Schizosaccharomyces pombe: one gene and its partners. Changing the gene in region 1 together with any one later gene gives a genetic interaction. Each region holds a gene or a part of one and is shown on either strand. Other genes may lie near its edges.

The links.
Region 2: mutations in rex3 (region 1) and nup61 together harm fitness more than expected from each alone (negative genetic interaction), as found in Schizosaccharomyces pombe (one large-scale study listed by BioGRID).
Region 3: mutations in rex3 (region 1) and nrm1 together harm fitness less than expected from each alone (positive genetic interaction), as found in Schizosaccharomyces pombe (one large-scale study listed by BioGRID).

The regions. Positions count from the first base shown.
Region 1 is NC_003424.3:4,760,801-4,771,717, forward strand, and holds rex3 (exonuclease Rex3), read right to left. Parts: upstream 9,000-10,917; 5' UTR 8,730-8,999; coding exon 7,107-8,729; downstream 1-7,106. Other genes in the region: SPOM_SPAC1782.02C (uncharacterized protein), read right to left, coding at 1-86; splicing-associated factor Saf3, read left to right, coding at 1,007-2,074; cox24 (mitochondrial 37S ribosomal protein mS38 ), read left to right, coding at 2,279-2,435, 2,478-2,848; ypa2 (serine/threonine-protein phosphatase 2A activator 2), read left to right, coding at 3,649-4,707; prohibitin Phb1, read right to left, coding at 5,166-6,014; qcr8 (ubiquinol-cytochrome-c reductase complex subunit 7), read left to right, coding at 6,310-6,341, 6,531-6,548, 6,594-6,807, 6,911-6,925; Cdc14 family protein phosphatase Clp1, read right to left, coding at 9,191-10,755, 10,811-10,859. UniProt on the Schizosaccharomyces pombe protein: 3' to 5' exoribonuclease required for proper 3' end maturation of MRP RNA and of the U5L snRNA.
Region 2 is NC_003421.2:729,482-738,838, forward strand, and holds nup61 (nucleoporin Nup61), read right to left. Parts: upstream 3,761-9,357; 5' UTR 3,741-3,760; coding exon 3,622-3,740; exon of another isoform or gene 3,570-3,621; coding exon 3,271-3,569; exon of another isoform or gene 3,223-3,270; coding exon 1,991-3,222; 3' UTR 1,390-1,990; downstream 1-1,389. Other genes in the region: dom34 (translation release factor eRF1 family protein), read left to right, coding at 1-197, 254-360, 409-1,041; ism1 (isoleucine--tRNA (Ile) ligase), read right to left, coding at 3,940-6,861; protein Thc1, read right to left, coding at 8,039-8,389; THO complex subunit Tho3, read right to left, coding at 8,535-8,678, 8,745-8,823, 8,869-9,113, 9,156-9,224, 9,277-9,357. UniProt on the Schizosaccharomyces pombe protein: Functions as a component of the nuclear pore complex (NPC).
Region 3 is NC_003423.3:4,281,999-4,288,573, reverse strand, and holds the start of nrm1 (protein nrm1), read right to left. Parts: upstream 2,631-6,575; 5' UTR 2,533-2,630; coding exon 1,504-2,532; 3' UTR 1,214-1,503; coding exon of another isoform or gene 346-1,213; 3' UTR 288-345; coding exon of another isoform or gene 198-287; 3' UTR 156-197; coding exon of another isoform or gene 141-155; 3' UTR 100-140; coding exon of another isoform or gene 1-99. Other genes in the region: tad1 (tRNA specific adenosine deaminase), read left to right, coding at 1-99, 141-155, 198-287, 346-1,213; oga1 (protein stm1), read right to left, coding at 3,452-3,914, 3,977-4,350, 4,619-4,636; Hrd1 ubiquitin ligase complex subunit Ufd1, read right to left, coding at 5,061-5,762, 5,811-5,932, 5,989-6,021, 6,202-6,370, 6,418-6,420. UniProt on the Schizosaccharomyces pombe protein: Negative regulatory component of the MBF complex involved in cell-cycle-dependent transcription.

The DNA of each region.
Region 1 (10,917 bases):
AACTTGGGATTCCATAAAAATCCAATGCCAGCAAATGTTAGCATACAACAATAAAAAAGAACTATCGCTCGAAAAGAGAACAACATCGTGAAATCAGAAGACGACAAATGAGCAACTATTAACTTCTAGAGACTGTACTCCGTGGTTTAGAAAGAGAATGTAAAACTAATAAGTTTTTTTCGGAAAGAAAATGTAGAGAGTTTCGATGAATATTTCGTTCGTACTTTTGTTTTCTCAACGTCGCACCAATTATATGCACCTGATTTTTGCTATTTTACGGTAGTATCAAGCTCTGGGAAGTATGTACTCTCAATTAATGGTTATATTACGATAGTTGAACTTAACTTCACTATTGTTGCTAGTTGCCAGCGCTCGCTATCTGTATTTAGAATTAGAAGGTGAATTGAATTGAGAAATATAATCAATATAACAAAATTACAAGTATACGTTTGGTTTTATTTCTTCAAAGTTATTTTGGTATGAAAAAGTGAGATGCTGACAGATTTCAAGTCAAGAACTCTATATTTTTTAAAACCACTTCAACGAATTTTAGGATCTTGAAAAGTACATCATTTTTACTAATTATAGGAGGGTATTTTCAAAGGATATATTGTATGTAGCATCTAAATAATTTTTATGAAGGTCTCAAAGGGTTGACAACGGTTGTTTTTGGAAATACATTACATTGACCATAAACTGAAACGATGTATTTTACAAAAGGCAATTCAATTTTACAAACTTTCAGCTAAATATAAATTATGCCAGGATTCTCGTTCATTTGACTAGAATGTGTGCTTGTGATATTTGTTCTCGCATTGGTAAGTGCCCCGAAACCTCTTTGTAAGTGGCACCGTACCACAAATTGCATACATACAATCTATTATATCAGATATACAGTTTTATCTTGGGTGGTAGATAATAGATATATAATTTCCAATTCATATTTATATTGTTTTACCGGTTGATTGAAATTTGCCAACCAATTTAATAAAAAGCGTTTGTCAAGATGCCAATAGATACACCGTTGATACCCCATAAACCTATTTCAAGATATCGCTCTGGTAGATTGGAAGGGCTGGAAAGTGAGTCTTCTTCTGAAAGTGATTATGAAGAAGTTTCCGATTCACATGATCAAGAAAACTCGATTTCTTCATCAAGACATGTTATTACTCCAGTATTCGAGAAAGAAGGAATATCTGAAACCAAAACGTCTTCTAATTTCCAAAACATTAACCCAGTCCAAACAATTGATAACTCTGCTTCAGAATATGAGACTGACGCATCATCGGCAGAAGGGGGATCTAACTCTGCAGCATCTAGTTCTGAAGAAGAAGACTCTTCTGATTCGGAATATGAGATGGAGCTGAGAAGGCGGACACTTCTTCTTCCGCCAAAATTTACTAGTAAAGTCATCAAAAATCGGGCAAAAGCCAATGAAGAAGATACTGAGGTGCTTAAAAAAGTGACTTCACAAAAAATATTAGAAGAGACTATAAAACGGGAATTACTATTGAAAGAAACTAAAAACAATAATGAATTATTAAATGATATCGATGATACCGATGGAATTGATCCGCAAAGTGAATATGAATTATGGAAATTAAGGCATTTGCTTAGGAAAAAGAGAGACAAGGAAAAGTCACTGGAATTAGAAAGGGAAAAGATGGCAATTGAAGAAAGAAGATTAATGAATTCTGAGGAACGCGAAGCCCAAGATTTGAAGGACGCTGAAGCAAGTCGGAGAGGAAAGAAAAAGTCATCTATGCAGTTCTTACAAAAGTACTATCATAAGGGTGCATTCTATCAAAACGAAGATATTGTGAGTAAAAGAGATTATTCAGAAGCCACAGAAGGGGAAGTTCTTAATAAAGATTTATTACCCAAACCTATGCAAATTAGGGGAGATCTTTTTGCGAAGGCAGGCCAAACACGCTGGACGCATTTGGCAAATGAAGATACTACAAAAGAAGGATCTGCTTGGTATGATCCTAAAAACCCAATCTTGCAAAAAAATTTGCATCGTCTCGGTGGACTTCATTCTGACAGCCCACTCTCGAAGCGAAAACGTACCTAACATCTGTATATACATAAGGACAATTTTGTATTTCATTTAGCATTAATTTTATTTAACATCACATATATATTTAAATACAACATTCTTCTGAATTAATATCAAATGTGCACCACCCTTCCTCTTTGTAAGTGTTTAGCATAAGCATACCAATTCTTACCTTCCCGCAGTGCAAAGAGTACAACACATTTTTCGCCTTGGTCACCCATGTTACGAAGAGGTGCGCTTTCCACAATATTAAAAGGTTTAAACGGCCTTTCACTGCGTAGTCCCATACCGATTTGGCATGTTTCAGCTTCTCCCGAAGTTGGGTCGAAATATAACCTACCAACGGTTCCTACAACTTCACACGTTTCATATCGTCGTAAGTAAATTAAATACTTCTATTTCTAACTTCATTGCGTAGAAATCGCAAAAGCAAATTTCTTTGCTGGATATCGACCTTTGTCAGCTAATCAAATATGTGTGCCTAAAGTTGAGTCCAAAACACAAGTTTCGCAATCGCAGGATGAGGAAGATCAACCCCAGGAATATGTGTTATCTTTAGAGGATGGCTATTTGTATGCTCAATCATTCTCTGCATCTGGATCCGTAACTCAAACTCAACCCGCTCGTATATCTACTCAAGTATGGGAACAAATATGTGATAAGCTGATTTCTATTACACCTTTAGATTTGACCAGTGTCAAACGAAAAAGAAAATTGAAAATGAATAAACATAAGTTCAAAAAGCGCTTACGCCGACAACGAGCACTTAGGAAACGTCTAGGAAAATGAGATTATTAGAACTTATTTTTACTCGGGTTATATTTTTAGGTTGGTTGGATTGAGAGTTTAAGCTGTAAACAAGCATTTTCAAAATGGCTGCAAGCATTTATGAGTCTCTATTTTTAACTTGGATATCAGTACCTCTCTTTTCTTAAGAAACGTTTAATCATTTAATGTTTACTTCAGGCTTTTTTAACAAGGAATACATTTTCTCTCATGTATATTCTATCCTTTAATGTTCCGGTATGAGACAATTAGGTCGGTGCTTTTTTCTTGCGATAAAATCATTAAACAATCCGCGTTTATTTAACTATTTTCAAAAAGCGGAGCACTTATTTGTTTATGCCGGCTATCTCCTTCATATCAATTAGCTTCCCATGTCTAGTACTATTACAATACCTCCATCTTTGGCCCTTCCTTTTTATATTTTTAAATATTTGTCGATGGCTAGAATTAATGACATGTACACTTCATGTGAATCATAAATATGTTGTTGTATATCAAGCAATTAATAAACGCTTATTACACTGTATCTGTTTACACATAGAATAAAAGAACACATTGGTATGAAAAATAACTTTAGTAGTCGAAATTATTTCCTTAAAACAATTTTGAAAAAAAAAAAAAAAATTTCTACATTTCTTTCTTTAAAAAATGTTCTCACTGATTATAGCTAATTACAATAATGAAATGTAACGTACTGACGACTGACATAACAAATAACAACATAAGGAATATTGAAGAGCGTCCAACTGTATAATTTTTAAGGCTTTTGTTAATCTTGTCTTAACCGATCAAGTTATGCCAACATGCTTTCTAGAGAAGAGCAAAACCGGTGTTTCGTTCCTGTCCGACGAATTTTAGACAATGAAGACTTAAAATTATTTAAAGAAGGAGATGCTTATAAGTTAATTGATTCGTTTATTTGTGATCTTGACGAAGCTGTGAAAGACAAGCCTATTTCAGCTTCAATTCCGCAAAGCTCATCAATAGAGCATGTATTAAATATACTAGATCGAGTTGGAGAAATTAAACAGGAAAATCCTGCAATTGATAATATGGGGTCGAGGTTTGGCAATCCTGCATTTCAATCATTTTACGATCAGGTATACATTGAAACACCAAAGTTGCACCAAGTATTTGGAATTGAGCATAATGCGGCGATGGAGGCAGGTCGATATTTTTATGAAAGCTTTGGAAACAGAAAGCGAATAGATTATGGAAGTGGTCATGAACTTTACTTTATGTCATGGTTACTAATTTTAAAGCAACTAGGCATTTTTACTAAAAATGATTATCCAGCATTGGTCGTTCGAGTTTTTGTTAAGTATGTTGAATTGATGAGGTCTTTGCAAATTTTTTATACTCTCGAACCAGCAGGATCTCATGGTGTATGGGGATTAGATGATTTTCATTTCCTCCCTTTTTTGTTTGGTGCAGCTCAGTTGGTTAATCATAAATATTTGCGTCCCAAACATGTTAGAGATCCAGAAATTTTGGAGATGTGTCGCGCTGATTATATGTACTTAGGTTATGTTTACTTTTTAAATAAGTTGAAGCCTTCTGTTTCACTACGTTTCCATTCTCCAATGATTGACGATATTTCTGCCGTAAAGACTTGGTCTAAAGTCAACGAAGGCATGATAAAAATGTATAGAGCAGAAGTTTTGGGTAAACTTCCTATAATGCAGCACTATCTTTTTGGCCATTTAATCCCAGCTTCACCTGGGATGTCTCCTGCTCCCCAAGACGGTGATGATTCTGAGGTGACACATGTTCATTCTCATTATGCTGACTGTTGTGGCATCAAGATACCAAGTGCGATCTCTGCTGCCAAAAATAATGGAAGTAGGATTCCGTTTGATTAAAAATTCTCGAGGGAAAAAAGGCGTTTTTAACGAATCTTCACGAATTTATGCGATACCCATATTTGTCTGTTTACTTTAAAAGTAATATCTAAAGTCAATAAAATTACCAACAGTACAGCATATTTGTTTATTTCATTATGCTAAAAAAACTCTACATAAACAATCAACCCTAATTTTAGCAGCATTAATATAGCCATTTCATCAGCACAAAACCCAAAATAATTGTCGTTTTAAAAATAAGGTGACAAATCATAATTTTGAGTTCTGAAATAAAAAAATTTGGAAATATTTATTTTCGTTAAGAACCCAAATTTGTCAAAATCATAATGCGTGGAAAAGTACAACTTTTATATAACATCTCTTTAATTTTAAAGGGATAATAAGATAAAGCTGATATGTTTAGGGGAGCTCGAATAAACCTTATGAATTTGCTGCTAGAAGCAGATACATGGAATGAATTAAGGATTTACATTAAGAAGCAACCCAGAACCACTGGAACTTTGGGCATTAGAACCAGCTCCAAAGGGAAGATAAGTGACCTGTGCACCTTTATTAGCAAGTGCAGTAGCCACCTCTTTACTTGTCTCGAGACGACGAATTTGGATTAAAGCGCCACCGGCTTTATCAAGTGCTTTGGAAACAATATCAGCCGCTTCTGCTTCACCCTCAGCGCGAATAACATTAGCTTGTCGCTCTTGTTCGGATTGTTCTACTAAAAATCTAGCACGCTCGGCTTCTTGTTGAGCAATTTGTTTTCTCTCTACGGCTTTCGTAAATTCTTTTCCAAAAGTCATATGAGTAATGGATACATCTTCCAACCGAATTCCAAATTCGGTAGCTCGTTGAACTAGTTCTTGGCGAATTTTGGCAGAAACTACTTCTCTTTGAGTAATGAGCTCTGCTGCATCAAACTGAGCAACTACGGATTTTAAAATTTCGTTTCCAATAGAAGGTAAGACACGCTCATCATAATCTAAGCCTAAATTTTGGTAAATTTGAGGAAGCATTCCAACTTCGGGACGGTGTAATACACGCAATGTTAAAGAAACCATCTGTAAATCTTTACTACCCGTAGTAGTTGCGATATTTCGTGGACGTGTGCGTACATCATAAACAATTGCCTTTTGTAACCATGGAATCAAAAAGTGTGTGCCCTCCTGAACAACCTGTTTCTGCACACCCGACAGACGGTCAAACAAAACTGCTCTTTTTCCCCCCGGTACATCGTAAATCGAAGATTGTAATAGAGTAAATCCAATACCTATTGGTATTGCATAACGTGCAACTCTCTCCAGTACTACAGCCATCTCTTTAATAGTACGTTGAGCGCTGGACTAAAAGACCAAACTGAAAGGGAAGTCCGTTTGAGCAAGACTAAGTATGACTTAACTGCAACCTCTAGGAAAATCTATATTCATGATTAATAAATACATGATCTTATTATTTAGAATTTTAATAGTAAAACTAAATAAAAATCTTGAATAAAAAACCAAGAATTTGTAAACGTCTGAATTATTATTGGTCTAGCAGACCCGCACACTTACCCTTAACAAACATCTGACTTTGTAACGGCAATCATCAATATATTATTGTTTTAACAAAATGGGTGGTGCTGCTGGAGGAAAAACTTATTTGTAAGTGCAACTTAAAGCAGTTTCTGTTTATAATGGGTTATATGACTTTTCTTTGACGCTTATAGCGTGAGACGGTGGACACAATTGGTGTTTATTTCGTAAAGCCATTTTCGTCAGCGAAGTTATATACATTCAAATAGCTGCTGAGAATATCATTGAACGTTTTTATTTATACTAACACATGAATAGAGGATGGTGGGGCCATCTGTAAGTGCTATAACAATTTGATACATTTTTACTTACTTTAATAAGAGGTGGACCTAAACAAAAAGGAATCATAACATATTCCCTTTCCCCATTTCAACAGAGACCAATGGCCGGCTTCTTCAAAACTTCTACGCAAAATATGTTTCGTCGCGTCATGACTGAAGGTCTATACGTAGCAATTCCGTTTGGAATAGCTTACTATATTTACTGTTGGGGGAAGGAGCGTAATGAATTCCTCAATTCCAAACATGGAAGACACGTAAGTTAATGACTGAAGAATCGATAAGCAGCTATGGTTTGCAGCATTTTTCTATACTTCTAAATTGTGTCAATAATTGTCATTTTACTAATATGTGGTTTAGTTGGTGGAGGAATAATGATGAGAATGAAGTATTCATTTTGGTAGAAGGATTTACAAAATTCTTCCCTACCCTTTCCTTATTGGGTTTACAATTACTATCTCTCTCCTCTCATTATGCTTAGTATCAGAAATCTATATATCCAACAAAATTACTTTGTGATATGATCTATCTCTTGAATTTGAAAACATTATTACTCTTAGTTTTGACTTTCATTTGATTTTGTCTTATAAAAGACAAGTTGTAATGCTGAAACAGCGTCTTCTTCGCTATCGTGTGTAGAAGTTTGTATTGTTGTTCCCAGATATTTTTTAGTCAAATATTTTAAGGAATATCTAAACGGCGGGCCTCTGGCATGCGTAAATAGAAGAGCAGTATCTATGACACGTTTGTGAATAAGCCTCATCGCATTCAAATCGTTTTCTAAACCATGTCCTATTAAAATTGTATTTTTATTCATGCCAAGTTCCTTTATTTTAATATACATTTGATCCATGGTAATTCCTGATTCTAATTCTTTGGCATCATGTATCCCGCTAAATCGAGTATTGAGACTCAAAATTTTGCCTTTAGGCTTTATAAACACATCCATAATAATGCTTTCCTTTGCTACCACCGTCAAACGAGCCAATTCCATCCCGTTCGTAGTGTAGCATAGTTCACAATCTAACGCGCAATGACTTAATTGCTTGCTATTTGTACTGTCTGGTAAGTAGGAAAATGGATGAACGCTAGCAAGATACGGAAGATGTCGGTATTTGAACACATGGTTGTCTTCTATAATACAACCAGACGAATCGCCCTCTTTTACACCACAGCAAGTGTATGTACGAATCTTCTCCCCCCCTTGCTTTTCACGAAACAGTTTTCCCCAATGATATGTACATGGTCCTCGAGGATCCGCAAACCGTGTACCACATCGATCGCATTCACGAAGTTCATCTGGCGGGTTTACTGGTGCAACGTCTCCAATATTATATCCCCATAGAATCAATTCTTCTTCCGAATGAACAAGTGACTCAAGTTTCTCATCAGGAGTTGATCCTTGTATTTCATTTTTCTTCGGAGCTTTCTTAAGAGATAAAATTTTAGACTTGCAGGAGGAACTGTATATCATTTTACTGTTTGCAGTTTCACAAATATTTTTTTCATCGAGAAGAGCAAGCATACTACTTTCTGCATTGGAATAGCCTAAATCCTTGTAAGACTCATATAACAAATGTGTCATTCGTTTTCTCAGTTCATGCCCAGCTGGTGAGTTGGAGTCATATTTAGGAGTAGGAATGATATTGGAAGACGCTCCTTGAGAATCTGAATTAGTACTAATGGCTGATACAAGTTGCTTCTTCTTATTAGGAACGATGGAAATGGCATCATTAAATAAAGAACGCTTTTTTAATACAGTATTTGTAGGTAGATGCGTCGTTTGATGATTCAACTGCTTGCATTTGTAAGTTTCTAGTACGTCCATACGAAAATTCTCATTCTTGGTTTCTTTAATGGAATCATTTGTCTTCTCCAAATTTAAAGTGGTGGATATATTTTGCCTAATGTTGAAATTAAGATTTTCAACCGAATGATAAGGGATACAGGTCGTAACTATTGGAACACAAATAGACAGTTTACAATTATCGTATTTGTAAGGAAGTGATTTTTCAATTTTAACTTTTGGGTACCCTTCAACATTTTCGGAATAAGGTGGTGAAATCTTTGTTGAGTTTTGAAAGTCATGACTAAAGAAACAATTCCTAGACTGACATTTGCGTCCAGTTCGTAGAAATGGACAAACTATGTGCTTAAACTGACCCAAAGGTGAAAACATTGAAGCAAATTAGGTACAACAAGTAGGCAGATTTCCGTTGGGAATTTAGATAAAAATTCTCAAGCAAAATATAATAAAATGTACCGCTACGAACAAAGATACCATGCACCCGCGAAAGAACCTCTTCAGCCAAAAATAGAATGGCGAAATCTTGAAATTCGTAATAAAAAACAAAGACTTTTTATATCATAACCAAAACAATTTCTCGATTAAAATCATTAACCATGGCTTGCAAAAAGCCAAAGTTTTTTCCAAAGAAATATGAATGTTAGTTAACAAAAAGGATAGCTAAGACATTAATGGTGGTGATCCCCACCGCGCAAAGGTGCGCTAAATCAGGGAATATTTGTAAAGTTAATTAATGAAAAATTATGCAGGGTTGACACAGTATAATTCAAAGTTAGTTTATATGAAAAAAAGGAATGTAAAAACTGCCATTTAAACCAGTAATTACAGGTTTATTAAGAAATTAGCCGGCTTTTAGAAGGCTTAGGTTTAGCAACACGGCCATTAGAAGTATTGTTAAGTGATGACATGCTAACACTTCGCTGAGCACTTTTTTTAGAATGACTAGACCCACTAGACCACCTATTTCCACTTGTACGTCGAATTGGACTACCAGTTGGTGAGGATGTCGGAGAACGAACTCCATTTGGTTCGATATTGCTTTGACTTGATGAGCGACGCAAGCGAACCACTGAAATTGTTTCAGTTGGAGTTCCAACAGTCCGTGTTTCATCATCATTTTGTATTTCTGAATCTTCGTAACTACTGTATGACGCTTTGTTCTCATTTTGGATTGATTGCTTGGAAGCATTTTTAAGTTTCTCATTAAATTTGACAGAGGACGCTGAAGGGAGACGTCTCGCCGACGGTGGATTATGTCCAGAAACTTTTCTCGGTTGGCCAGGCGTTGGTTCTGGAAGAGGAGTACTGATATTGCTTTGAGAGGTACCATTCGTAGCATTCAATGGATGGCGAGGAGGAGTAGCTAAGGGTTCCGCAGCGGTGGCCTGTTGGATTGCTCTTCCCATCGCCTTTTCGTAAAAATATGCACGGAAATGAACTTGATTAATATGTAACCAATGCTGTTGTGGACCTACAACCATTCCAGGACGCATTATTCTCATGTAAGCAATAACTTCATTAGCAGTAAAACAATGTTTGTATATTAAATATGCGCCAATTAAGCATCCAGTACGTCCGAGCCCTGCTTTGCAATGAACAGCAATCACACCGTCTTCTTCTACTTCCTCGGTAAGGTCAATAAACTCTTTGACAAGAGAAAGCTCTGGAACTGTGCCATCCTCAAAATACATCTCTTTATGTCGAATTCCAACATTTTCAAAAGTCTTTTTATCGTAAAGAGGTCCATTAAGCCTAACTATCAGTTTGACCTTATTAGCGACGAAATAATCGAGAACTATCGCAAACGGTTGAGGAAGTTTCTTTGGACGTGTGCTCGCATGATTCCAACCAGCCTGAATAGGACTTGCAAATGCTATAAACTTAGGAGATATCCAATTAAAATCTCCATTCTCCACTCTTTCATAAGTTTCATAGTCATGAACATCGATATTACGTATATTTAGTATGCTGCTCTCTCGTGCTCTCCACAGTCCGTAAACACAATCTTGAATCGTGATATAGTAATCTGAAACAGCATATCCCGCATCTCTAAACCCCAAAAAAGGAGGTTCTGCCTGAGCTAAAGGGGCTAATGCGAGATGTGGAGGCCAGTTTTGTACTAACACCATGTAGCAAGCTAACAAACAAGCGGCATTTGCACGCAACCTTGTATCTGTAGAAGAATATAAAACTATAGCCTTGCTTTTCTTAGCTTGTCTGTGTTTTCCCATGATACCATGAACTATCACTGCAAATCTAATAAGATGACTCACGTTCAGCGGACCAAAGTCATGATAAAAAGGGTTGTAGATCAATTCATCATCGATAGTAAAAAAATGCATATGAGGATATAACTCGGCTTTAGGTGGTTGCGACAATGATGTGTAGTATAACTTGTCTATTTAACATGTTAATCAATTTTACGAGATATTTGAGTTAAACTTCATGCATACCCTCCAAAAACTCAATCATTTCACCAAGCCCATCATCTTGGTAATCCATCAGACAAGTAATTGCGAATCTCGTCTATATTCGTCAAACCCGTAATGGTTGAGTTCTA
Region 2 (9,357 bases), on another chromosome or scaffold:
TCAATTGCACATCAAAGGACGGACAACTGAATACCATCCTGAAGTTAAGATGGGATCCTACCATACCTTGGACTTAGAACTACATCGCAATTTTACTCTATATAAAAATGAATGGGATGCATTTGCATTGGACCGTGTAGATGCTGCTTGTAATCCTTCAAGAAATGCTGAAATAGGTGCTGTGGTTTTAGATGAAGGTAAATTTCTTGGCTTACATCGCTTTATTAGTTCGTGCATGTTTACTGACTTGCAGGTCTTGCCAATATTTGTCTCATTACAGATTATATGACCATCCTGCGTCAAAGGATTGATCAAGTGATTCCAAGGAAACGGAGAGGGGACAGCAGCGCTTACCAAAAGGTAAATTTTTAGACTTTGATTTTTCGTCCGTACTGATCAATTTTTTAGGGCCTTGATAAATTTTATGACTCTGTTTTTCAATCCATTAACTCAGAATTTGATTTTGATAAATTGAAAGTCGTTATTCTTGCTTCACCAGGATTTGTGGCTCGAGGCTTGTATGACTACATATTCAGCATGGCCGTGAAGTTAGACTTGAAACAAATTGTTAAATCAAAGAATAAATTTGTCATCCTTCATTCTAGCACTGGTCATATTCATTCCCTTAATGAAATTTTGAAGGACCCTGCTGTTGAATCAAAACTAGCCGACACAAAATACGTACAAGAAATTCGCGTTCTGAATAAATTTTACGATGTCATGAATGAAGATGATAGAAAGGCATGGTATGGTCCAAATCATGTTTTGAAGGCTTTTGAACTTGGCGCGATCGGAGAACTTCTGATTAGCGATTCTCTGTTCAGGAGTTCTGACATTGCTACTAGAAAAAAATGGGTTTCATTAGTAGAAGGTGTTAAGGAGATTAACTGTCCTGTTTATATTTTCAGTAGTTTGCATGAGTCAGGGAAGCAGCTGGATCTGTTGTCAGGTATTGCCGCCATTCTCACTTACCCAGTCGATGAAGAGGATATATCAGAAGATGAAGAGGATGAGGAATCCCAAAATTTTGAACATAGTTAAAGTTCATCAGTATCCGAATTGTCATGAATCTAATTATTGCTAAGCCAATATTTCATACTTTAAGCTCGGTTAGAACAATTTGTTTCATTCTCTTAAAAAATTTATTTATGGGCTCGTTTTGGTAGTCATTATTTATGCTTTTACTTGGATGTTTTAGGGTATTTACTATGATAAACATGCAAAAAATTAGGTGTTAGAATGGTCAAAAATTGATACCCTAAAATGATTTATACTTATCGATTATAACTCTTAACTTGTAAAATTAAGCTGTTAATTATAGCCGGTCCAATACAGTATTCAATTACAGTAAAAAAATCAACTTTAAGCGATAAATTCGCTACAAACGTATTTGTTGAAGTTACTTTTTTCAAAAAACTAACAATTCGAAATTGATAGTGGCTCATTTACTTGCTTATTTTATTAAAAGTTCGCGCCAAGATACTTATTCAATAAGGGGGTTTGACCCTTCTAAAAGCTAGGCAGGTGTTTGAAAATCCGGAACCAATATATAGACAAAAGTAATTTAATAACGAAACCGATTATTGAATCAATCAATTCAAGATATATCACTGGCGATATACAACAGTTTTAAAATTCACTCAAAAATTTATCAATCATTCATAAGATGAAAATTAGGATAATTAAATCAGTTCCGTAAAACTTTGATGTTCTGCGTAAATTTAAAAAGAAAAGATATGACTAGCTTAACCAATTTAATATTCCATAAAGGCAATGTACTTGGAGAGCATGTATGCTTCCGGGAATTTCATATTTGTATGCACATTTCGTAAAAGACTGATTGTGTATATCCCTATCCACAAATGAAAATCGAATGACAGTATTAAATTGATAATCTTGACAATATATTTCCGAAAAATTTATTAGATTTATGTACATTTAATAGACCAAAAATAAAGGAATAAATAGTGACTGAATCAATCACTGCTTTCTAGTTCTCTGACTTTGAGACCTTTTTCTCATTCAATTCGGCTAATAACTTTTCCGCAGTACTAGGCTCTTTCACACGAATCAAATACATTTCAATTGATTTTCCATCAGTAGAAGCAGCAGGTACTTTTACGTCCTTTTTACCAGCCAGGCTGTATTCAAAATCCTGGCACAAACGAACGTTTAACAAAAGTTTTCCACTTCCCTCGACACGCGCAAGGATGCGAGCAGAGCCAGTGTCACGATCTACGTTAATTTTTAATGGACCAATCCCGATATCAGAATAAGATTTACTAGTAGCATCGAAACGGTATATCTTGGCCCTTGTCTCAAATACGCTGTCTTCATTTTCTTCGCCTTTTCCTTTACCAGAAACTAGAGAATCATTCGATCGAGTTTCATCATTTCCGTTTTCCTTTTCTTCTTGCTCTGATTTGTTTCCATTAGAAGTTTCTTCACTTTTTTCAGCGCCAACAGAAGCTGGAGTAGAAGAAGTAGGAAAAGAAGATTTCGGAGCAGCAAAAGAGAACGGATTAGTAGTAGTTCCAAATGAAAAGCCGACAGCCGCAGCGCTAGGAGGCTTCACATCCGAAGAGGCCGGTAACTTTTTGCTCGATAATGGATTGGTAAATGTAAATTTTTTCTCAGGTGTGTCAAATTTGATAGGCTTATCAGGAGTCCAAGAAAAACTCATAGTATTTCCCTTGGCAGGTTCAACGGCGTTCTCGGATTTTTCATTGTTCGAGGGTTTAGATTCTTCGCTCTTTGAATCTTTAGTTTCATGGGTTTGTTTGGTCTCTTTTGAAGCATCCGCAGAAGCCATAGTCGTTGAGAAAGAAAACACGGGAGTTAATGGTTTTGATTCCTCATTTTCCTTCTTAGCGAAAGCGAAAGGATTAGCGGCAGTATTGAATGAAAACTGGTTGGTTGTGGTAGCGGCAGTACCAGTGGCAGTTTGATTAGAAGATGTTTCTTTCTCCTTCGCTTCCGCTTCTGTTGCGGACTTCTCACCAAATGACCCTTTAGGAGTAAAAGCCGATGAATTAAACTGGAAAGAGCTACCAAGCGCTGGAGCAGAAAATCCGAACCTAGGAGCACCGGGGGGAACAAGGGGCTTCTCCTTATCCTCTTTTTCTGAAGAAGCTGGTTTTTCTGTAACAAAAGAAGAAGAATCTTGGCTTTTTTGTTGCTGAGGATTTACCTCAGACACAACAGCATTTGAAGTTGGTTGTTCTAAGAAAACGTTAGAAAGAAATGAAGTACTAACTATAAACGCATTACCTTCTGCTGGCTTTTTTTCTATACTTGAAAAATGCTGCCTGTATTCATCAAACAGAGGGCTCAAATTACCAAAGGGATTATTGTCAACACTTTTGATAACAGCGTCAATAAATGATTTATTAAGACCGCGTTTTTTCAAGTGAATATCTGAATCATTATTAGCTGTAACCGCGGGTTTTCCAAATGTAAATTGCGTAGTCGATGCAGGTAAAGACACCGGTTTTGCTGCCAAATTTGCAAAAATTCCCGGAGAAGAAACACCGCTCGTTGGTCTTTTTCTAGATTTTGGCTTTGCAATTCTAATACATTAGTACCTAAAAAATTGAAGAACTATGTTTCATCGTTACATACTTTCTTGTGGCCATCACGTCTGCGGAGGCCTCCTTAGGAACTTCAACTGGACCATGACGGTCATCATCAGAATCATCTTGATCCTTAGTTAACTGATGATCAGCACCGCGTTTTGACATTTTGCTAGTTTGCGAAGGTCAACTGTTAGCCCCAAAACCACCCAAACTTATGGCCTTCACTATGTCTCCTTATTTACTAATGTTACAGTAAAATAAAATAATACAAAAAATGAATTGTCGCTTGATTTTAATTAAGTATTACAAAAATAAATGACTATGGTACAAAAATTATCATAATAAAGAGCGTTCAGCTTTTTTCTTAGCGTTTCAGTTGGGCCAAAACAGATTCGCATCTGTCACATAATCCGTCCTCATGAGCTGTATGCATCCAGCAACGTAGACATTTTTGTTGATTTGAAAAAAATAAAGAGATATTTGCAACCCCATAATCCAACTGAACTTCAGGTTGTGTAACGGAAGCTAATTTCAGATTTTCGGGAATTTCGTTAATAAATACCTTCGATGTATTGAACAGAAAAGGAAGGTCGGAAGAGTAATTTTTTAAAAAACTCAATAAAGATTGAGATTTTGACTTAATAACGACATAAGCTTCTAATGAGTTTTTAATAGTTAGATTTTCACGAGCTGCGGTAATCAACAAATTAATACTATACTTAAGTTGTTGAAGAACCAAGTATTCCTTAATTAAAAATTTTCTATCAAGTAAATCAACTTTTGACCTTAAGCTGCTTATAAGATGTGTTTCTCCAGCGTGAAAAGGAGTTTGGTAAGAAGAATTCAAATAACTATCGGGTAAGCTTTGCCAAATCTCCTGTGCCAAAAGTGGAGTAATGGGAGAAATGGCCCAAATGAGCGTAAGTAATGAATGATAAAGGACAGTTTGAACACTTCTCCTAGATACACTGTTGGGTAAATCAGCGTACAGACGATCCTTTACGGCGTCAAAGTATGTAGAGGATAAGAAAGAGTTCATAAAATAATTGAGATGATGAACAACTTTGTTAATTGAATATGATTCATAAAGTTCTCGAATTTCAGTCTGAAATTTATCTAGTTGGACTAAAGCCAACTTATCAATACCACGTAATTCACCAACATCAACTGAGCTCGAGGTATTCCAGTCATGTAAGTTCCCAAGACAAAATCGGGATGTTAATCTCCACTTTTTTAAGGATTCACCAACTTGCGTCAAAATGTTCGGTCCCAGGTTAGTATCATTCGTACTGTCACATGATGCAACCCAAAGTCTCAGTAAATCAACACCATATGGAAGCTTTTTTCCTTTTAAAAGCTTTCCGTTTATTACATCTTCAGGGTCGGTTACATTGCCCAAAGACTTGGATTGTTTCTGACCTCTTTCATCAAAGATAAATCCGTGCGTAAACAAAGTAGAAAACGGTGCTTCTGGTTTTGATTGGTAGGCAGTGTATGTGAGAAGAAGTGACTGAAACCATCCCCTGTGTTGATCGCTTCCTTCCAAGCAAAGGTCAATGAGCGGTTTATTCTTACGAGGTGCTATTGTAGTCCAACTAGTCCCAGAATCAAACCATACATCAAGTGTTTCAGTGCCACGAATATACTCCTTATTTCTGTAATCCGGATGAACCCACTGAGCATGCCCATTGTTTTCAGTATCATTAAACCAAGAATCAACTCCCTCTACTTCCATTTTCTCAATGATATAGGATACACTTTTCACAGTTAGTAGGGGGATTTTAGTTCCTTTCTCATACAATACAGGAATGGGTAAACCCCATGCCCGTTGGCGAGAAATGCACCATTCAGGACGGCCATTCAAAAAACCAAGAAGTCTGGCGCGCGAATTTGGAGGAATCATTTTTACACTATCAAGTGCTTTTATGGCAGTTTTCCTTTCATTCTCCAATGATATAAACCATTGAGGGGTCGCCCGTAAAATTAATGGCTTATGTGTTCGCCAATCGTAAGGGTAGCGGTGCTTATAAGGAGAGACCTTAACAATCATATTTTGATTTTTCATAATACTTATTACTTTCTTTCCTCCATCACCAAGAACTTCCAATCCTTCAAGGCTTCCATCCAAAGCTTCTTTAGTGTATCGACCATAATCATCGAGTGGTGAAAAAGGACGCAAATTGTTTTCCAGTCCTAGAAGATAATCTTCCATTCCATGGCCAGGAGCGACATGTACTATACCAGTACCGATATCATTAGTAACGTAGTTAGATTGTAAAAATGGAAAGCTTTGCTTCGGTAATAGAGGGTTCTCATATGTAAATGATGAAATAATATCTGAAGGGCAACTCGCAAGACGCTTAGCTCCCTGCATAAAATCCAAGTTTGGAACTAAATTATCAGACATTAAATAAATCGAATTATTGTGCTGGTATAGACCATAGTTGATTTCAGGGTGGTAAGATAATGCAAGGTTTGAAGGAATGGTCCAGGGAGTTGTTGTCCAAACTAATGCCTTTACATTATTGTATTCACATCCATCGATAGAAAAACTGTTCACCGGAAACGTAAAGTAGATAGACGTGCTGACGTGATTATCATCATATTCTATTTCTGATTCAGCTAAAGCGGACCTGCTTGAAGAGCTCCAATAAACAGGTTTATTTTGACGAAATATAAGATCCTTTTGTAACAAACTTAAGAAAACCTTAAGCTCTGCTATTTCAAATTTGTCACTCATGGTGATGTACCTAGAAGGCCAATCTCCCATTACAGCCATACGTTGGAACATCATGAGTTGTTCTTGAACGGCCGAATTTGCGAAATCTTTAGCAATCTTTCGAATTTCAAGAGAACTTTTACGCTCGGCGTTTGCTTTAATAGCTTTTGACTCGATTGGTAAACCATGACAATCCCAACCAGGAACATAATGCACAGAACGGCCTTTCAGCAATTGCCAACGATTGATGATATCCTTCAAAATCTTATTTAGAGCATGACCTATATGCAGTCGACCGTTTGCAAACGGAGGCCCATCTAATAGCACGAAAGAATCTTCTTTATTCAAATTCTCCTTCTGCCATTCATACAGGTCTGATGTGATGGATTTGAAATACTTTTCATTATTTCCTTTAACGTTTGGCTTAATAGGAAACGAAGTCTTTGGCAAGCATAGTGATTCTGAATATTTCTTCAAATCCGCCTGACTGCTGAGAAACCTACCTGCTTGTTTACAACAAATGTGGTTATGGCCTTTCGGCAAACTGCTTATATATGAAAATTTCATATGTCCGACGATTCCTTATAATCCGAGCATAAAACGAATATAGGAATGAATGTCGACCAAACTGGGAATTGGTAACCTCGTGGGTACGGTCCCAATTCCGTATATTGTACTGGTAGTAACTATAGCTGTAGTCTGAAGTGCCAAGGCGTAAAACCGGTCCAATGCATAGAAATGCCATTATTTCAAATACTATACACAAACGAAGCTAGCATGTGGACAGCAAATTTGGACTGAATGTTTCCTTGGATCAATAATGATTTATCACATAACTGTTTAAAAAGTATATGAATTTAAGAGCTGAAAAAGTAAAAAAACTCATTATTTCATTGTATCATTGAAGCATTACTCAATCTTTCTCTGAAGCACCAAGATACGAGTTTCTACTAAGGGTTCCTCATTAATTAAATAGTTCTCCTAGACGTTGTGCTTTACTTAAACAGAGAAAAAAAAAACATCTGGAGACTAATTGGGTTAAACAAAGGGCATGTTTGAATAGATGTAACAGATGGTTCGGCTAATGAAAAGTAAAGGCAAGCATTTTCATGAAAGATATCTATAGTTTTTTCTTTTAAAAGGAAAATTTTACAGAAGAGCATTTATTATGGTTATTATTTTCTAGTGATTGTATCAGCTTTTTAAGTTTACGTATTCGAACCCAAAGTAGCTATTGTTTTTATTTTTTATTTTTTTAAGTCATGAATATTATATCTAACGTAATATCCAGCAGCCAAATCTTCCATATAAATAACAAAGTAGTAACCAAGGGATTTATTCTCATTAGATAGCCATGAATAAATAATATCAAGAATATAATCATCTAAGCATCTTACAGATCATTCGAAATTTCGTTTGTTTGACAGCTCTTTTAAAACACACTGAATAGATAGCATTTTCAAAAACGCGAGCAACCAACAGAACAGATAAAAATTTTCCATTTGTATAAAAATAGTAAAGTGATATTTATACAAAGGCAATAGAAGAAATAGCCCGTGCCATTCAAATCAATCGAGATTGTTAAGCCAACTAACAGTTGCAATTTTAAACCAGTTGGGTTAATAAAAGATTAAAATTAGGTTTTTAGCCAAACGAAATTTTATAAAACACTCGGCTGTCCGAAAAGTTGTTGGATTGCGATTAATTTTTCCGGTAAGTTTAAGCTGTGTTCTAATTTATCTGTTTAACCTGAAGTCAAGAAATTTTGTAGTGGAATAATTCTTTTCCTTTTACATAAACGAAGTACCTCATCGTGCGAACCGTAGAATGGTTTAATGATAGCATTCAGTTGACTGCCCCAACGAAGTGAATCTAAGTAAGCCTTTTGAGCTTCCTGCGGCGAAGAAAATGTCAGGTAAGCTCTCATACTATCCTTCCAAGTAATAATTAGATCAGGTTGTTTAAAATAACTTCTTAAAACGCGTTCTGTAAGATAAAGTCCTTGTGCACTTAAAATGTACGTAGAATGACTTTCAACAACTTCTACTGGACGTTCAATATGCTTAGATAAAGAAACAGTATTTTTCTCTTCCATTCTTCAAAACTTTTGGTACCAAATAAGCTAAAACTACAACTTCAATGAATATTGAAGGTATCCATGCTAAGAGTATAGGGTAAATACTAAGTAGCCGTTTTTTTATTGTTGATCAGCGTGAACAAGATTGCCAATTTTCAATCATTTATAGCCCAAATATCTTAAGACCACTAGAATTAGGCTCCGATACAGCATATGCTAAAATATGTTTTGTTGGATGCCAAGCTACCTTGTTCAGAGGTCCATTAGTTGGAATTTTCCAAATTTGATCACCAGTTTTCGTATCAGCCTTCCAAGTTAGTTTATTAAAAAGAATAAAAATAAGAAACGGTTTCAAACATCCTGAAATACTTACGATATCCACATAGCGGTCCTCTGATCCACTAGCTAAATAGCGACTGTCATAACTAAAGCTTAATGTACGGATGGGATAACTTTTTAGAAGTTAGCGACCAAAAAATTTAAAAGAAACTACATACTCCATTCTAGTAATCGACCGTTCACAAATCAGTTCTTGTGGATCCCATAAACTAGTAATTGCATCTGCACCACCAATGGCAAGGTGCCTGTTATCCGGACTGAATTCAATACAGAAACAATTTGAGTTATGCGCCTTTATATCGTAAACTCTTTTTAGAGAAGGCCATTCCATAATTTGCACCGTGCCAAGTCCTGTAGTCATGAAAAACAAATCTTCACTGAATGACCAACAGCATTCATTTGTCTATTAATCGTAAGCAAAGTTATTATTGGTTTAAAAACAAACCTCACAAGGTTGTTGGAATGTCTCCATTATTCTTCTTTCCCGAGCATCAATAAAAGACAACATATCATCCTAGCATTCAATTAGCAATCGTGCGTTATAAAAACTTAAAATATTCTCGTACCCGACTACTAGCACAGCAGTAATTTCCACTTGGACTCCAGGTTGCATAAATATTCTCATAGTTGCTTTCTATTTCAGCGAT
Region 3 (6,575 bases), on another chromosome or scaffold:
ACCGATCATAAGAGCAAATGGGGTGCGTGAATGGACTACTTTAGCCGGTGTTGTCATTCAGAAAAAGATGGAGAACGAATTTATTTGTGTTTGTCTAGCGTACGTCTTTTTTATTAATATCGGTAAACTGACATCTAAAGAACAGGTGTAAAATGGTATGCTACCAATTGATTTTTTTCATTAACAAGTCAATTTAGTACGCCAGCTGGCATCATTAAGAATGAACAACTGGGTAGTGTATTACATGATTGTCATGCTGAGATTCTGGCATTAAGATGTTTTAACAGGTAATATATACAATTATTTGTATATTTGTTAGTATTCGTTACTAATAAAAGAATTAAGATTACTTCTCGAACATTGTATTTTAATTAAAGAATCAAAGAAAGATACGTGGCTTCTTGAAGTTGCTGATAATGGTAAATTTACTCTAAACAGCAATCTTCTGATACATCTGTACGTTTCCGAATGTCCTTGCGGAGATGCGAGTATGGAGCTACTAGCTAGCCGCTTGGAAAACAACAAACCATGGAACTTAACAGTTGATTCAGAGAAATTAATGCGTGGGAGGGCGGATTTTGGACTACTTGGAATCGTGCGTACTAAACCGGGGAGACCTGATGCCCCAGTAAGCTGGAGCAAAAGCTGTACTGATAAATTAGCTGCAAAACAATATCTTTCTATTTTGAATTCCCAGACCAGCCTCATTTGTGAGCCCATCTATTTATCATGTGTAGTGCTTTATAAAAAAGTGATAGTTAAATCAGCAATTGACAGAGCATTTGGACCCTTTGGTCGGTGCGCACCACTTGCTGAATTTGGAGAAAAGGATAATCCTTATTACTTTCATCCTTTTACCGTGCTGGAAACGGATGAAAATTTTTTATATTCACGGCCGTTGAACCAAGCAGAAAAAACTGCAACTAGTACAAACGTTTTGATATGGATCGGTGATAAAATGCAGTGTACTCAAGTGATACATAATGGTATTAAAGCGGGAACAAAAGCTAAAGACGTTGAAAAGTCTCAAACATTAATATGTAGAAAGAGTATGATGAATTTGCTGCATCAATTAAGTCAATCGTTGACTAATGAAAAAAACTATTATGAATGGAAGAAACTCAACATCAAACGTTGCCAGCAAAAGCAAATTCTTCGTAATATCTTAAAAAACTGGATCCCAAACGGAGGGAACGAATTTCAATGGATATAAGAAATCTAGAAACCTCAATATAAGATGTACGTATGAATTAAGGCATTAAATAAAACGAAGGATGGCTTTACCAGCGATAATAATTTTATTAACGACTGACTTGTTACATAACAAGTAAGAAATAAAAGAACGTGTTGCGAGGAATTAAAAGTTATTTTTTGCATTTCAAAATAATTCACATATAGAAATCTGTCAGAAAGGAAATGAACGACAACTAGAGTAATTAAAGTATTATAAAAATCATCTCATAACATTATTCCATAACTCGGTTTAAAATGTAAAAAGAAGGATCATCGAATTAAACCATAGTCTGAAAATTGCTTGCTGTGACTTGCAATACGCCTTACTTCGGAAGATGATGGATGAATGTTTTCTGGAGTGTTGGATATGGATACTGGAGTAGGCGGGCCAGTATAGTAATTTGAATTTGGTTTCTGAGCGCTTAAATGCTTTAACGGTGTAGAATTGCTTTTAGAAAGTGATTTTGGCCGAATGCGTCTAGGCGTTTTATGTTGTAAAAGAGATACGCTACGTGTCAATTTACCATGACGAACCCACAGATAATGAGAGGAGGAGCGTGATAGCGTACGAGAAGGGGTGCGTAAAGGAGAGGTATAAGGATCATACATATGTGTTAGATCATCAGAACCGATCGGTCTTGGCGTTGTCAAACCATTCTGATCATATATCGACTTCGTGGGAGATCCCATGGAAAGCCTGCGATTCCCTGAAAGATGTAAGGACGGAGGCTTTCCAGAAGAAAGCGATCTCTGGTTCCATATGGAGGTAACAGGTTCAGAGTTTGGACAATTGTGAAGCTTCGTTTTAGCGACAATGGGAAGATCTTGCAGAGGGGAAAATGTTTGATTAACTTGTACTTTATACATAGCCAATTCAAGACGTAAGCGTAAGTTTTTAGCACAACACTGAATGTCGTCTAAGTGATTATTGTTGGTATTGGTTTGTACTGGTGTCTTGGGTTCTAAATGTGTTTCTTTTTCCTGTTTCTCTCCTATCTCAGTAGAAGATTCTTTTTCCTCTTCACTCTCCGTACTACTAACAGATTTTATTTTTAAGACTGGCTCTTCACATGCATTTTCATCTGCAATTTCTACTGCACGCACATTTCGAGATCGAACCGCAATCGGTGAAATCGTCCCTGGAGCCGCATTCTCTTTTCCTAATGGTCTCTGCATCGGTGTTATAGGAAATAAATGTTGCACATTTTTTCCTTTTCCATACTCATACACTTCGTTTGTTGGCCTTTCCCCCAAAGTGTTTAAACGAGATGGGGTCAATGGTTCCATTGACCTATCCATCTTGTTATTTTTTCTAAACGGAAACCAATATAAAGATTCCTAGTAGCAGAGAATCAGAAGGAAAAGTAATAATCAGAGACAGTTTTTTTGCGACTCGTCGATTGTTGCGTACTTGTGGCACGTATATAAGCGGTGTCCAACGCAACGCGACGCGACGCCCTTTAAAGCGCGAATTCGCGATATAGCGCGTTTTATCAGTTTGCTCATATCCTCGAGTTTATTAATTATATTAACTTTCAAATTTTTTAAATAGCTATCAAAAATGATGCTATAAAAAGTAAACCGCAATTTGCATTATGAAGAGTGATTTACCTGTTATGTTACCGATACACAAACTCGTTCATAACTTTCCTATAGTCATTTTACAAGGTTAAGAAGGCTTTATTCAACGTCCGTTTCAATATCCCTGCAAACGACATTTGAAAATGACAAAATCAATTGGAATAATAAATGGAGTATTTGTGAATTGCACAGGCAGACCTACCGTACACTGAAATATGCTTTTGTTATGTACACAATTACTAAGGCTGATATTTACAGATTAAAAATAAGATACGTTATATCAAGATAACAGTCGGTAGACGATTTAAACGCGCATCTTCTTAATATTAGTTGTGAATAGATACGAGAATGAAATTTTTTTTACACACTAGTATTCGACCATTTTGAAAAATATTTAGTCAATTCATCGCAAAATGTGGATCAAAAAAGGGAATGCAACCACAGAATACACCTTAGACCGCTTTAATGATAAGAATCACTGAATAACCTAGAAACCCGAATGATGCTCAATGGAAAATAAACAAAAAGGGATCTGTAAGATAACACACACCTTTCCACATACGCTTGACAACGAAATTTCATCCAAGACCAATCAAACGCTCCACATCAATAGGCTACTCTCAAGTCACCAGTTCATCTATGCAAGAGCGGGAAAGTCAGTCTCAGAAAGGGTGGGAGGTGCCTGTTGGGTTTTTGAGGCAGTTTCTGAAGGACCACGACGGGGAGCACGGTTAGGACGGCCACCGCGAGCAGGACGAGCAGTAAAAGTTTGCTCGATATCAAGAAGAACCTTCTTTGGCTTGCTTTCCTTGGCAGCAGACTTCTTTTGAGAAGCGCTCTTCTTAAGAGAGGCAAACAATTCTTCGGGGGCACTCTTCTCGACCTTAGTAGCGTTTTCAAGTTTCTCAACAGTACGACCAACAGGCTTTGCGGCGGACTTGCGTTCAGACAGATATTCATCAAGAGTCTTAACATTTTCCTCCTCGGCAGCAGGAGTTTGGGCTCCAGAGGGAGTGTTACCTTCGTTCTCTGCAACATCAGGGTTAGCAGCAGAGTTTACGAGATCACCCCAGCCACGTTCAGTAGCCTTCTTGGTATCACTAAAATAATGGTTAGCAATTATATAATTTGGCATTCACATGTAGAAAAATAAAACACATACACTCTACCAGTTTGGCTATGGCGGTCAAATTCACGACCACGGCGAGCACGAGCATTGCGGCGGTTGGAGGGGGCGCCAGTGGCATCCACAGGATGGGCAGCGTTGTTAGCACGAGCTTCTTTGCCTTCACGAGCAAAGGCTTCGTTTCCTTGAGGAGCTTGACGGCGTCTGCGAGGTTGGTCTGCCTTCTTATTAACGGTACGCTCACGAGGAGTGGGTTGGTTAGGGTCACGCTTCCTAGAGGTGGTGCTTTGAGCGACTAATTCGCGGGGGACAGGAGGGCTGTCGGAGCGCTTTTTGTCACGAGAAGCAGCGGTTTTCTTCTCGGTAGTAGTAGCTGCGGGAGTCTCCTCTCCGAGGAGGTCAAAGAGGTTCTATAATTTGGTTACTACTTGCGAAAACAAAATAAAAATCAGCAGAGTCTGCAGAGCTAACACTCTAAAGAATAATGAACGAAATGTGAATTTATATTTTTTAATACTTGAGCGTCTTTATACAGGCTATACTTCTATAAAGTATTTCATTCGGGTCGCAGTAATGAAACCTTAAACACAGCCCTAAAACATGCTACAAATAATTACCAGTTCGTTCATTTCCTAACCCTTAAAATAATCGTTTAATGATAAAATGTTTAAATCATACCTTGGATGCAACAGACATTTGGAAGCTGGAAAGTTAATTGTGTGTGTTCAGTTACACAACTACAGTCATCCAAAAAGCAGTCACTCAAACTTAGGGTAGGTTGAAACAAATGATGTGCTTTGTCCATCATCTTACGGTAATACCTAAGGCTATCTTAAAATTACAGTTATTCAACACAATGCCTGTCTTTTTTCTATGATATCGGAAGCACTTGGCTTACAATTGTCAATATTCGTTTTATCGAATCATTCATTTCTTTAGCATTAAAATAAGTTTTATTAAGAAATATACTACTGGTAAAAAAAAGCTAGGCAGTCTAAGTAAGAATTAATTACATTATATTTTGAAACAAATAATAAATTAATTCATTCAATGTAAAAAGACTGGTACTAAAATCGTTATAAACTAAATCCAACCAAGTAATAACTTGAGACGATTAACATTAAGCATCAATATCGATTGGGTCATCAGAGGAACCTTTTCCCATTGTTCCATTTGTTTTGCGAGAGGCACGTAGAGATGTACCGGCACCTTCAAACTTAAATAAATTGGGGTCTTTCTTAGAATCTTCTTCAATAGAGGGTGCTTTATAAGGATACCCAAAGAAGTATGTACCCAATGGTAGGATCAACGGAGCAGGACATTCTTGTTTCTCAACATCGAGCAAATTTATTTTAGGCACTTCAGCAACTTCTTTACCATTTAGTTTAGTCCCTGTTCCCTTCATCAAATTCGAATCGCCCTGCCTCACCAGCTCATCGTAACCAATCTTGGTAACCATCGTTCCTTGAACGCCAGCAATATTTTGCTGCTTGTTTTTTTGCAAACTTTCTTCATAACCGATGGGGGGATCAAAATCAACTACCAAATCGGTTTCTACCACTGAGACAACATGGCGGGAGTCATCAGGTTGAACATCTATAACTTTTATTTGATATACCTGGTCGTTATACAAAATCTCAAATATATCAGATTTTGTAAGCGTACTGAAATTCCTAAGCGCATTTTCCAATACCGCTCTGTGGTCCGTGATATCAAGAAAATTCACGCTTTGAGGCTGTAATTTGACATAGCTGCCCTGTGCTATATCAGTATTTATAACTCGAACCAAATCTCCAGGCTCAAGGCTAAGTGTAGTCATCATCTGTGCCCTAGTTAGTACATTTCTGACAGTCTTTAAATTTTTTCATACCCAATAAGGCAGGTAGACACGTCCCTCTTCCGCAATAAATTCTAACACACCCCCATGAGTTTTTTTCTCTGCAGCTTCGTTTTCAAAGTCAAAAAGCATGGGATAACTGACATTCAGGCGTGCTAATAGTTAATTAACAGATTTAAAAGGCTTAATAAATTCTCTTCGCATTACGTACATAGTTTTTCTAAAGCTGAAGGTGGTAATATTACTAGACGTAGTTGTTAATACTAATAATCCCCAATAACAATATAAAAAATATTGAGCAGAGAATGTTAACCATAAGCAAATGCGCAAGCAAGCGCTCAAAGATAAAATCACATGAACTTCATGAGTATATAAAATCAAATCTCCAACAATGTGAAAACTTAAAAGTATTTTCAAACCTTACCTTTCCCACCATAATTGACATTTGGCCGTTCCTCACCAGGAATCATGGCAACAGGATAACAGCGGTAACGAGTATCAAATCGCTGATTTACATTATTATGAAAAGCTGACCGAAGTTGAGACATCATGGAGAAACCATCATCGTCGCTTGAGAAAAAGCTGCCGCCAAACTAATACGTGAGTAAGTCAACGTACGCATTCTCTAAAAAAACCATACCATATTTGCTTTTTTTGCGAAAAAAGGAAAGAGTAACTATGGTTCTCCCAATTTTTTATAATGCAACGTAAATGTTGTAGTGCAAGCAAAATACACTTGATGACTGAAAGAATTTGGCTATGTACAGCATTCGTTGACGCAAATGCCACTATTTGGGA